Linked DNA regions of Rattus norvegicus. The protein of the gene in region 1 purifies or fractionates together with the protein of each later gene. This does not show direct contact. Links are inferred from orthologs where the notes say so. Each region holds a gene or a part of one and is shown on either strand. Other genes may lie near its edges.

Region 1 (3,646 bases):
CAAGTTTGAATTTTTGGCAAATTTACTTAATAAGTGGGAGTTTTCTTTTTATAAATTTATGTTTATTACCACTCAGTAATTATATGTAATGACTGTGACATTTTTATGTATGTGCATAGTATATTCTGATTTTACCTCTTGTCTTACTTAGGGTTCCTATTGCTGTAATAAAACACTATGACCAAAGCAAGCTGGGGAGGAAAGGGTTTCATTTTAGAGTTCCAGGTAGCAGTCTGCCATAGAAGGAAGTCAGGACAGAAAGTCAAGCAAGAGAGGAACCCTGGAGGCAGGAACTAAAGCAGAGGCCATGGAGGAGGGCTGCTTACTGGCCTGCTCCTCATGGTTGGCTTATGTCAGCCAGGACCACCTATCTGGGGTGGTTCCACCCACAATGGACTGGGCCCTTCCAGATCAATCACTAGGAAACGCAGGCCCACCTGAGCATTGGTGGTGCACGCCTTTAATACCAGCACTCAGGAAGCAGAGGCAGGCAGATCTCTGAGGCCCGCTTGGTCTACAGAGTGAGTTCCAAGACAATTAGAGCTCCACAAAGGAACCCTGTCTTAGACAACAAAAACCCAAAGCAACAACTAAAGGAAGGAAGGAAGGAAGGAAGGGAGGGAGGGAGGGAGGGAGGGAGGGGAGAGAGAGAGAGAGAGAGAGAGAGAGAGAGAGAGAGAGAGAGAGCGTAAGCAAATAAATGTAGGCCAGTCTGATGGGGACATTTCCTCAGTTAAGGTTCTATCTTTCAAAATGACTCTTGCCCGTGTCAAAGTGATAGAAAACCAGCCAGCACATCCCTCATCACCCTCTCTTGTCCCATTCTCTTCACAACCAGTCCCCTTTACGTGTGTGTGTGTGTGTGTGTGTGTGTGTGTGTGTGTGTCCCAAATTCATTAGAGCTGTGTACAGGAGCATAGGTGAGAAGTTATTTACAGAAACACAGCACCTTACTACTGTGTCGCTGGAAGGCCATCTCTTCCTCTTCAGCAGCCATCACTACTTATAACTCTTAGGGGACAGTAGGGCTTCATGATCCTGCCTCTCCCGTGACAGGATGTTGAAAGCCTGACCTCAGGCAGTTCTGGTGTGGGTGATCACAGCTGCTGCAGGTTCCTGTTTAGTCCCATCGGGGGACATGTGCAAATCTATTTGTCTCTTCTGTTGGATGTTAGCGTCCTCTGATGATCACGGCCCACATTTCATTAGGGATGGGCCTGTGCATGCCTCACTATTGTGTCTCCCCCTTTCTATTTGGTGTGCCTGGAACACTCCTTAAAAAAAAAAAACAGTTATTCCTCTGTGGTTCAGTTACTACAGAAAAGAGAATAAATAGCTATTCATCCTTCTAGTTATTTTTTTTAAAGTGGTTTGGTGGTATACAACTTCAATCCCAGCACTAGAGAGGCAGAAGCAGGAGACTCTGTTTGGGGCCAGCCTGGTCTGCATCGTAAATTCTAGACCAACTAGGGCTAGATGGAATGGTGAGACCCTATCTCAAAAAATAAAGTGGATCCTAGCATCCTTCAAGATGGCACTGAGTTTTATTTTGTAGGGCAATGTGGGCTTAACCATGGGTTCTATATCTTAAAGTGTAATAACTATGGTCTTGTTGATGCTGAGTGTCCCACCTTGGACAGGAATGGCCTCTTCTATGTGGTTCTGAGCCCCTTTGACACAGCAAACAGTCTCTGAAGTATCTTTGCCCTCTGCTCTATGAAGATTCTCCAGATTTACCTCTCGTACTCTCTGCCCCCAAACTGCACTAGGCTGTTTCTCCAAGAAGCCTTGATTCCTTTTAGTGAGAAGCAGTAGGTTTGGTTCAGGTTTTGTGCCCTCTAGACAGGGTCACACCAGGCTGGCTGTCTTACTGGGATGATGTTTTCTTTGCCCTGTTGGTTCCCTGGAGAGAACGCCTGCCCTCCAGGTCAAATCCCAGGTCCTGGGCACACAGTCCCTGGGGCCCTCCAACCCTCTCAGTGTGGAAACTAGCCAGTCACAACCAGACACGGTCGGTCATTCCCCACCACGTACTGTCCTTTGGGTTATACCATGGAAATATGTCCTGGCTGGGGAAGATGGGGTCTCTACTGAGAGTCTGGATAATGAATGGTTTCCAATACTGTTTAGTCCCCAACATAAGTTAAACTAGGGAAAAACCCAAACAACAGCAACATCAAACATTGCTAAGTGTTTCACGGGCATAGCATCTACTTGAACTTCACAGCCTCCCCTGGGAGAGGCACTAAAGTTAGAACTATTAACCTTGGTTCCCAGTCACAGAGACATTGGCCTTCCTTATTCTGGGGGAGTTTGATGCCAGCAACAAAGCAAGGAGAAACGGAGAAGTCATGTCTCAGCTCTAGAGCAGCTGAGGGTCTACGCTCAGGCGGTCAGGGGAATTTCCAAGAATGCCTTTGACTTTAAAACCCTTTTATCCCTGCGGTGGGGACAGATGTTCTCTCAGGCCACACATCTGTGCAGATCAACCTGGCACTGTGCACTTACTCACAGCTTCCTTTTCTTGATGCTCTTCCCAGTGTGGACTTTGTGAAGTGGTCCTCCCAGGGCATGCTAAGGATGAGTCCGGATGCAATGAATGCCCTCTTCAAGCCAACCATCGACAGCATCATCGAGCACCTCAGTGAGTACCGATCGGGTCTTAGCCCCCGTGGGACAGAGTTGGGATAGGGACAGTCCTTACACAGCCCAGTCCAGTGGGGGAATCTGGATCTGGAAGCTACAAGGCTGGATGGAGTGGTTTCATCCCTCAAAATCCTGCTGAGCTGAGGAAGCCGAGGACCTGTCCTTACCTGGGCTTTGCTTTTGACCTTCAAGGTCAGAGGTCAGGGAACTCTGAAGCCGTAATACCCTAGAGTGACAGGGCTTAGGAGTGTATCTTGTTTGAAGTGTCAGGAAATCTTAGGAATCCTTGGCTTACAGGGAAAGAAAGAACTGTTTTGTGAAGCAAGGAAGGATTCCAGCAACACAGGGTCTGTCTGTCAACACAGAGTCTGTCTGTGCTGCCTTCTTGTGTGTTGGGTGTCCTCCCACAGGGATCCCCAGAATCCAAACCCCTCCACATGTCCCTCACCTACCTTTGTGAATACCAGAGACAGTAATGTCTGTAGCTTAGACCACATACTTAGAGGATTACTATTCTTACGAAGAATGAATCCTAATTGAAGTCACCACGACCCTTGACAGCTTGAGATTCCACTTGGCATGGCCCTGGCCTTTGTCCCTAAGCATACAATGTGTATGCTTTCTTCATAAGAACCTTCCTTCAGGGTTGGGGATTTAGCTCAGTGGTAGAGCGCTTGCCTAGCAAGCGCAAGGCCCTGGGTTCGGTCCCCATCTCCGAAAAAAAGAAAAAAAAAGAAAGAAAGAAAAAAAAAAAAGAACCTTCCTTCATAAGACCAGCTCAATCAAAACTGGGTTCAACGAGCTCAGGCATAGCCAGTGCCCAGCTGATGCCCATCGGTCAGCCGACTCCCACAGGCTCAGACAGCGGGGTCCCCCTTTGCTGGCTTGCTTTTGGGTACCTGACCTTCCTCTCGCCTTCCCTTTCAGGAGACCTGTTTCAGAAGCCTGAGGTATCCACCGTCAAGTTCCTCTTTCTGGTGGGCGGCTTTGCAGAAGCTCC
Region 2 (3,730 bases), on another chromosome or scaffold:
GACTACTTCACTCAGAATTTAAATTCCCAGAGGTGCACATCTACAGAACACAAGTCCCTAAACTCTATAGCAGACTAGTAACATAATTTCCTAACCTTCTCTTCCAGAGAGGTATCAAAGTTCCCTCTTCTCCAGCCAAGGCAATGGACATAGTCTCTACTGACATAGTCTCTATTCTAGATACCCAGGCCAAGACTCTATCTCCTCAGGCCTGCTCACAGAGGGAGCCACCACACATCTCTGCTGGAGACATTCATTTTGCAGTGTATCTATGCCATCCATTAGTAAATTCAATAGTTCGTGAATCTCTTTCCCTCCCTTAAGGAGTTCAGGCCAGTGACTAGGTGCTTTGAGAAAGGCCTTAGGAGCCTTAAAGAAACAGGGCAGTTGTGTGTGTGAGATGACCAGAGAACTAAGCAGTCTCTTTCACCAGCAAGTCAGGATGTATGTCTATCTCTCTCTCCATTTCAGTTTCAGCTTTCTAGATGCCAGGAAAGAGGGAGCTGCAGAGAGACCCAAAACCTAGTTACCATCCTAATTAACTCGGGTCTTCTCTAGGAACTTAAATATCTGGAGTATTGAACCTGTGTAAGACGCTTCCAATTTCAAAACGGGAGGGTTGGGGGCAGGGAGGGGAGATACTGCAGTTCCCAAGCCCATAAAGAATTCACCGGAAGGTCAAAGAAAAAAAAAAGCCTCTCTCCACTCTCCCTGCGGGGTTCTGCAAAGGGAGTGGAGGGGACCCAGAGGCCCTGTAATATTCCAAGTGAAATCCAAAGGCTACTGCTACGCGGTCGCGGTCCCCAGAGCTAGGATCTAGAGGACCTAGGTGTCCTAAAGAACTGCGGCGGCCCCCTCCCCCGCGCGGGAGGGAAGCCGGGACGAGGTTGGCCTCCCTCGCTCTGGTGTCTGGGCGTGGGCCCCGCCGCAGCTCCGCGGAGCCTCCGTGCCTCCTGCAAAGGGGGGCGGGGGAGCCCTGAGCTGCGGCTTCCTCCCGCGCGGAGTCTCCTGCGCACCGCCGAGCAGGACGCCAGCGCCAGCCCGGTCCCCACGCCGCGGCGCGCCCGGCCTTCGCGTCTCCCCCAGGTAACTTTTCTGCCCTTGGCGGCCGAGGGGCTCCGAGGGGGGCTCACTTCCGAGGCGCGCGGGGCTCCGGGACCCCGGTGCGCTGCGCTGCGCTGCGTTCGCCTAGCTCGGCCTCCGCCCTGGGGGCCTCCCTCCGAGCTCCGGCCCCCGGGGGCGACCGGGCCCTGCGCCCCTCTCTAGCCATCGGCGCGGAGCCCAGGGTCGGGGCGCCATGTTCGGAGCTTGCGGGGGCTCGGGGCGACACTGCGGCGCCAGGCCGGGGACTGTGCGCGGGAGGGGCTGTGCGCCTGCAGGCTGCGGCTGCCTCTGCGTCCCTGCCCTGGGCGGGCGCGGCGGAGCTCGGAGCATCTCGGCTCCGCGGCGGGGCCGGCCGGTTTTACGTAACTTGCCTCCTTCCCCGAGTGGCCAGCGTCCCCGGGCCGTTGGCCGGCCAGCCAGGTTGCTCCGGGCCTGGGCACCTGCCGGCCGCGCGCCCCTGGGACGGCTCCCTGCATGGGGCGGGAACGCGCCCGGGCCTGCAGACCAGTGCACCCGGGCGGGCGCGGCTCACCTGGCGCCCTCCGGACTGCGGGTCGAGGGAGGGGTGGGGGCGGGGAGGCTGGGGGGCCGCAGGACTCGGATCCCTACTAGTTGCGAGTGGCGCGCCTAGGCTCCTGCACCAGGGGGGCTTGCTTTTTCGGGTTGCTCTCTAATCGCGCCCTACTTCTTCCCCTTCCCCCTACCCCCTGCACCGGGTGCCAAGTTCACAGCTTCTGCAATGCGGTGGGTGTGGTTACCTCTCAGATTGTAAGTGTGGTCCTTCTGGTGGGAGCATTCTTGCCCTTTCTCCTTTTAGATTTACTGATCTGAAGTTTTCTTGGAGGTCGCGGGGGGATTTACCCTCCTGTCTTTGCAGAACAGGGTTCAAGTTGGGAAGAGTGCTACAGAACAAATCGAATGATAAAGGGAACATGTGGTATTAATTAAGCACGGAGTCTGAGCAGTCCTGAGAGGGCCAGGCAGTCCTGCTAATATAACGCAATGCTTCCATTACGTGTTTAAGTTGGCGTTTCAGCTTTTTTTTTTTTTTTTTTTTTTTTACATTACTTTATGGAATTGCTTTTGCAGACATCCTTGGCTGTGGTTTTCAGGGGCCCTTTTCGGGATCTATAGGGCGATTGGATGTTCTGAGAGTTACTCTTGGTAGCATAACTTAACCAAGAAAAGGAGTCATGATGTACGGTGCTAAAAAGAAATTTCTTTTTTGCATCTTACTCGGCCTTTTAAATCCTCCATGAAACAAAATTGATGAAACTCCACGTATATCCGGAGGCCATGAATGCAGCGCCATTACTGTCTAGTGGGGCTCCGCAGGAGTGAACCTGAGGACAAGGAAGGGATTTGATGATCCTAATCTTGACTCAGCAGTGGTCCTTACTGTTGTCTTTGACTTGCATGGTCCTTGTGGCATCAACCTTTAAACCTTTGTTTGGAGTAACAAAGTTACTGTGAGCGGAAATAATCTCTAAATTGAAGAAGCATGCTTCTCCCTTGTTAGTTTTCAAAACACTGATCGAATAAGCTGAATGCCTAGTATTGAATTATTTACACTATGATTTTTTTTCCCCCAACGGTTTAGAGAAGCAAGATAATTAGAAGCACAAGCAACTGCGTGAACTGGTCTCGCAGCAAGTTCTTTCAGAAACAGAGCCTGTGTTCTGAGAGGTTTATCGGAAACCAGAAGAGCGACCTCTGTAGCGCGTAAACACCTTTAGGCCAAGGACTGTAGAGCTAAAGGTCAAAGGCCAGTGTCCCGTGACATATTTACATTTAATTTTTAGGAAGTTCCTTAGGTGTAAATATGGTTTAGATTAGAGAGTGCATTTGCCAGTTCCCACTGGGTCCTTGGACTGAGGCCAACTTTGGTTTCTGTGGAAATACAAGATTCGAGTTTATTTCTCTTGACTGGGTGTGTGTGTGTGTGTGTGTGTGTGTGTGTGTGTGTGTGTGTGTCTTTTTAAAACTCTGATGTCAGGGTTGAAAGAGATGAGTCAGTACCAGAAGACCCTGATTCAATTCCCAGCAACCACATGGCAGTTCACAACTGTCCATAACTCCATTTTCAGGGGACCCTACATCTTCACAGAGACAGGCATGTAGAGGAAACATCAACGCACATAAAATAAACACAGATAAATTATGAGAAAACCTTATTTTAAAGAAAACCCAGTGGCAAAGCCACTAAGGGTGCACTGAGGTAGGGCGCACTGAGGTAGGGTGCACTGAGGTAGGGTGCACTAAGGTAGGGTGCAGAGAGGCAGCAGACACCTGTGACCTCAGAGAGCTGTTGCTGCTGCCCTTGGTGGCTGAGCTGGAGTGAGTGTGGAGAGATTGGCTTAGCTTTGCTTTCCCCTCTTGTAGGCCAGTGCGGCCATCTTTTTAAAGTTAGCGCCGCAGAAGTTCTACAGTTGATAAGTGCAAATTGGTGATTGCATGGCAGTGAAAGTGGACCTGGTCCCAGAGTAGCCTGAGAAATATTTTCTTCTGGTGAGAGTTCAAGTATAACGGAAGAGAGGTGTCATAAGTGGAGTACGCTGGCCATCTTAATAATTCCGTCCTCAGAGTCTTTTCCAAGTACCTTTCACAGCTTTCCCCTCTGAGTGTC
Region 3 (3,746 bases), about 220 Mb from region 1:
AAGCAGGGTGTGGTCTCGCAAGTCTGTACTGTCTTCCCTCCAGGGACTGAGGCTAGAGAGCTTACGGCTAGCCTGGACTAGATTGTGAGAAATTCTGTCTGAACAAACAAAACAAACCGAGGTAGGTGACATACTTACAAATAACCAAAAGCAACTTGAAAGTCTGTTACCAAATGAATAAACCCTAAAGAAATTGTCCTTCGGAAATAAATTGAGAAAACAAATTTTATCTCGAAAAACGAGTGGTCCCCAATATGCATTGATATGACAGCTAATAAGGACTAAATGATAATAGCTAAATGAATGTCTCCATTGACACTCAAGTAATCTGTAATCAAATCTGGAGACGAAATATTATCTGGCATCTAGGTTCAATGCTCTTACTGGGTTTAAATCATTAATTCCTTCATTCATCCACAGAGTCTTGCATTGTGGCTCTGAGGCTCAATGAAACTCATTATCCAAGCCATGCTGGCCTCAGGCTCAAGCTGGACCCTCCTACCTCGGCCACTGGAGCACATCAGGCTCACCTGACATCAGTTCATCTTTTCTTCCTAGCCTTTTCATGCTTAATGACGGGTAATCTAACAAAATTTCAATTTAAGTCAAAGACTTGTTGGCGGCTGTGTTAATACAATGAGTACTTAATCGAGCGGAGGAAAAAAACAGACAGGCTCCTTCTTTGAATTCTTTCAAAATCTTCAATGTTTTGATAGTGGCAATGGCGACTAAGCAGACCTAAGTCAACGTGGTGTTTAAGCGTCGGGAGAGAAGGGTGGCCTGGATGTGTAACCTTCAGCATCAGACGCTCAAAGGACAGGCACATTTCCAGTAACAGCTTCATTTCCCCGCATTCCCCCGGGAAAGAGGGCGGCGAGTTCTGTTGATGGCATCAGCTGACATCACTGGCTGGGATCATGGGGACGCTGGGCCCACCTCAGCGGTGGCCTGACTGCATCAACCTCTGGGTTTCCCAGCCCCTGCCACGTGAGCCGCCCTAATATGGCCAGGCTCAGGAGCAGCCTAGGAGCGCTTCCTTTCTCCCGGCTGAAGGAGAGAAAGCTAGAACAAATGCTTAAAGTCAAACACAACCTGAAGAAAAGCAAATGGGGATTTAGATTCGCACCAGGTCAAATGCAAATCCATGGGCTGCAGAAGATCCAACCTTGGGTTATCAATCATTAAATTAAAAAAACAAAGCTTTTGCCTCCGCCCTTTCTTTTGCTGCTCCTGAACCTTCTGCAGCCCCAGGACAGACCCCAAAGCTCTTGTTCCCTTTAGTGACCTGAGAAGCCCTGGGGGCGGGGTGGGTTGCTGGGGGCCTGGTGGCGGAGTCTCTGGTCCTAGCTGCCTAGGGGGAGATGCTGCAAGGCGTGTCTGGGCTGTGCTCATGTGATGAAGGGAGGGAAAAACAAGGAGGGGGGAGGAGGCTACGAGGTGGCTTTTTTTTTTTTTTTTTTTTTTTTTCTTTTAAGGAGTTTGCCACGAGCGCGTCCCCTTCATTCTCAGTCCGGGTACGTTCTCAGCAGGATCGCAGAGAGCCGGAGCTCTTCACCCTTAGTCCCTGTGGTCCTGGGCGCACATCCTTGCCCTTCTGCGTCTCCGCGGTCCCAGGAAGGCAGCTAGCCGGCGGGAGTAGAAGAGCCACTGAGCCATGGGCGCAGGCAGTTCCACCGAGCAGCGGAGCCCCGAGCAGCCGGCGGGGAGCGACACGCCGAGCGAGCTGGTGCTCAGTGGCCATGGGCCCGCAGCTGAAGCCTCGGGAGCAGCTGGAGACCCCGCCGACGCGGACCCCGCCACCAAGGTAAGCTGCGGCCACCTGCCCGGGTGGGGCGGGATGGAGATGGGGCGTCCTGGCGGTTTCCGCCTGCCACAACTTCCCGGCGTTGCAGCCCATCTGCAAACTCGAGCGCAGCCCTTTGCAGTCTCTGGGGTCTTTTGCACCGGGGCGGGGCTGGCATCTTTGTGGAGGGTTTCTAAGGGCGGCGACCTAGCCAGCCCTTCTGCAGCCAGCAAATCTGCCCCTGCCCACTGTTCTCCAGTCTTTCTTCTCTCTTCCGGTGGGCTTGCAGCCTGCGGGGGTGGGGAGGGATGACCCGTGGGGCATCCATAAGAATTGACCGTGGCCGGGCATCTTAAGCCACTTTATACACCCCCTAGATCCCAGAGAGGGAAAGTCGGGACCTGCTTTGAAGCAGAGCAAACCTAGGTCCTAGGGTCCCCGCCCAGTGTTGGCCTTGATACCAGCCTCCACCCGGGCCACCAGGTTTGGTACCCAGAGTCCTGCGGCAGCGCCTGGGACACCGCCTAGCTGATGCAGAGAGCAGGCGTGTAGAAGAGAGAACCGGAGCAGAAGCACCAATGGAGAGATAGGCAAAGCTGGAGTCCTGTCTCCCTTTCTCACAGTTTGCTGTCTGTGGACTCAGTTGGATAAACAAACATAGGAGTTAGAAGTTCTGCATGGATGCGGGCAAAGGCTTAAGTGATCGTTCCTTGCACTCTTTCTGTAGAATTCACTGTAAAGCTCTAGAAATATGGCATTTTATAGGATGCTTGGCTTGAGCCTGGAATATTTGACCCTGCCCACCACAGCCTCACGTTGTGTCTTGCTCTCGTTATTGTGTTTTATTTCTGTCCCCTTGTTATTGTTCAGGGTTGTTAATTAATTTGCTCACTTGTTTTAAGACAGGGCTTCACTCCGTAGCCCAGACTGGCTTGGAACTCACTAGCTAGCCCAACTAGTGGCAGTCCTCCTGCCTCAGCCTCTCAAATGACTTTGTAGCCACACCCAGCTGGCAACGTATTTTAGCTATTTCCCTGCACGTGTTTGTGAGCAAGACCTCGCTCGGGTGGATTTATGGTAATCGTACAGAAACATGTGAACAACCAAACAACTTAAACGAAAAAACCACCAATTGCTGAATTTGGTGATCAAGAGCAGCGAGGACCTTTAGGAATGGGTCAGGAAGTGTAAACATCTTTGTGTGAGGACAAAACATTGAGATCCAGGTAAATCTCACAGAGATGGGATCTGATAGCTTTGAGTTCTTTAGTTGCCTAGTATAATGTAGGCTGAGTGGCCTATCTTTAATTGTTTCTGCCTCCAGTTTTTAACTCATCACCACTTGTAAAATCCAAATAAAGTCCTCCCTGCCTCAGACGCTCAGGTTTTCTGAGAGGCTTCTGACACACAGTCTCCATCTTTTGGATGGTTTGGTTACATTTTAATATTTGTCTAACACTCCTTTAAAAGAAAAAATTACTTTTTTTTTCTTTTCTTTTTTTCGGAGCTGGGGACCGAACCCAGGGCCTTCCGCTTGCTAGGCAAGTGCTCTACCGCTGAGCTAAATCCCCAACCCCAAAAAATTACTTTTTGAGGAGTACACTTGTGCATGGTTTGCGGGTGCTTGGGGGAGCGGTGGGGGAGCGGGGGTGGGGGCGGCAAATGTGTCATGGTGCGCATGTGCAGAGGTCAGCGCTTGTGCGGAGGTCAGAGGCCCGCTCTGTGGGGTTAGTTCTCTCCCTCCACCTTTATGTGGGTTGTGGGGTCGAACTCATGTTGCCAGCTTTGCACAGCAAGCACTCATTCTCGCTAAACCATGTCACTGTCCCTCACCATGTTTTGACGACAATCACCTTCCGTAACCTGCGTTCCCCTTCTCCATCAACCTCAACCACCATCTTGAAACACCCAAGCAGTCTCTTTTAAAAGATGGTTTTAGTGACATTATTTGTTGGCCCGTTTC

What was found. The genes of interacting proteins can lie anywhere in the genome.
Region 2: the proteins of Hspa12a (region 1) and Epb41l3 purify together in Homo sapiens (affinity purification with mass spectrometry; 4 studies listed by BioGRID and IntAct, with this or other methods). This does not show direct contact. The link is inferred for Rattus norvegicus from reciprocal best matches to the Homo sapiens genes HSPA12A and EPB41L3.
Region 3: the proteins of Hspa12a (region 1) and Akap12 purify together in Homo sapiens (affinity purification with mass spectrometry; 3 studies listed by BioGRID and IntAct, with this or other methods). This does not show direct contact. The link is inferred for Rattus norvegicus from reciprocal best matches to the Homo sapiens genes HSPA12A and AKAP12.

Annotation. Positions count from the first base shown.
Region 1 is NC_086019.1:267,925,944-267,929,589, reverse strand, and holds part of Hspa12a (heat shock 70 kDa protein 12A), read left to right. Parts: intron 1-2,540; coding exon 2,541-2,644; intron 2,645-3,573; coding exon 3,574-3,646. UniProt on the Homo sapiens protein: Adapter protein for SORL1, but not SORT1. Delays SORL1 internalization and affects SORL1 subcellular localization.
Region 2 is NC_086027.1:116,582,380-116,586,109, forward strand, and holds the start of Epb41l3 (band 4.1-like protein 3), read left to right. Parts: upstream 1-880; 5' UTR 881-1,086; intron 1,087-3,730. UniProt on the Homo sapiens protein: Tumor suppressor that inhibits cell proliferation and promotes apoptosis. Modulates the activity of protein arginine N-methyltransferases, including PRMT3 and PRMT5.
Region 3 is NC_086019.1:43,134,017-43,137,762, forward strand, and holds the start of Akap12 (A-kinase anchor protein 12), read left to right. Parts: upstream 1-1,498; 5' UTR 1,499-1,654; coding exon 1,655-1,804; intron 1,805-3,746. UniProt on the Homo sapiens protein: Anchoring protein that mediates the subcellular compartmentation of protein kinase A (PKA) and protein kinase C (PKC).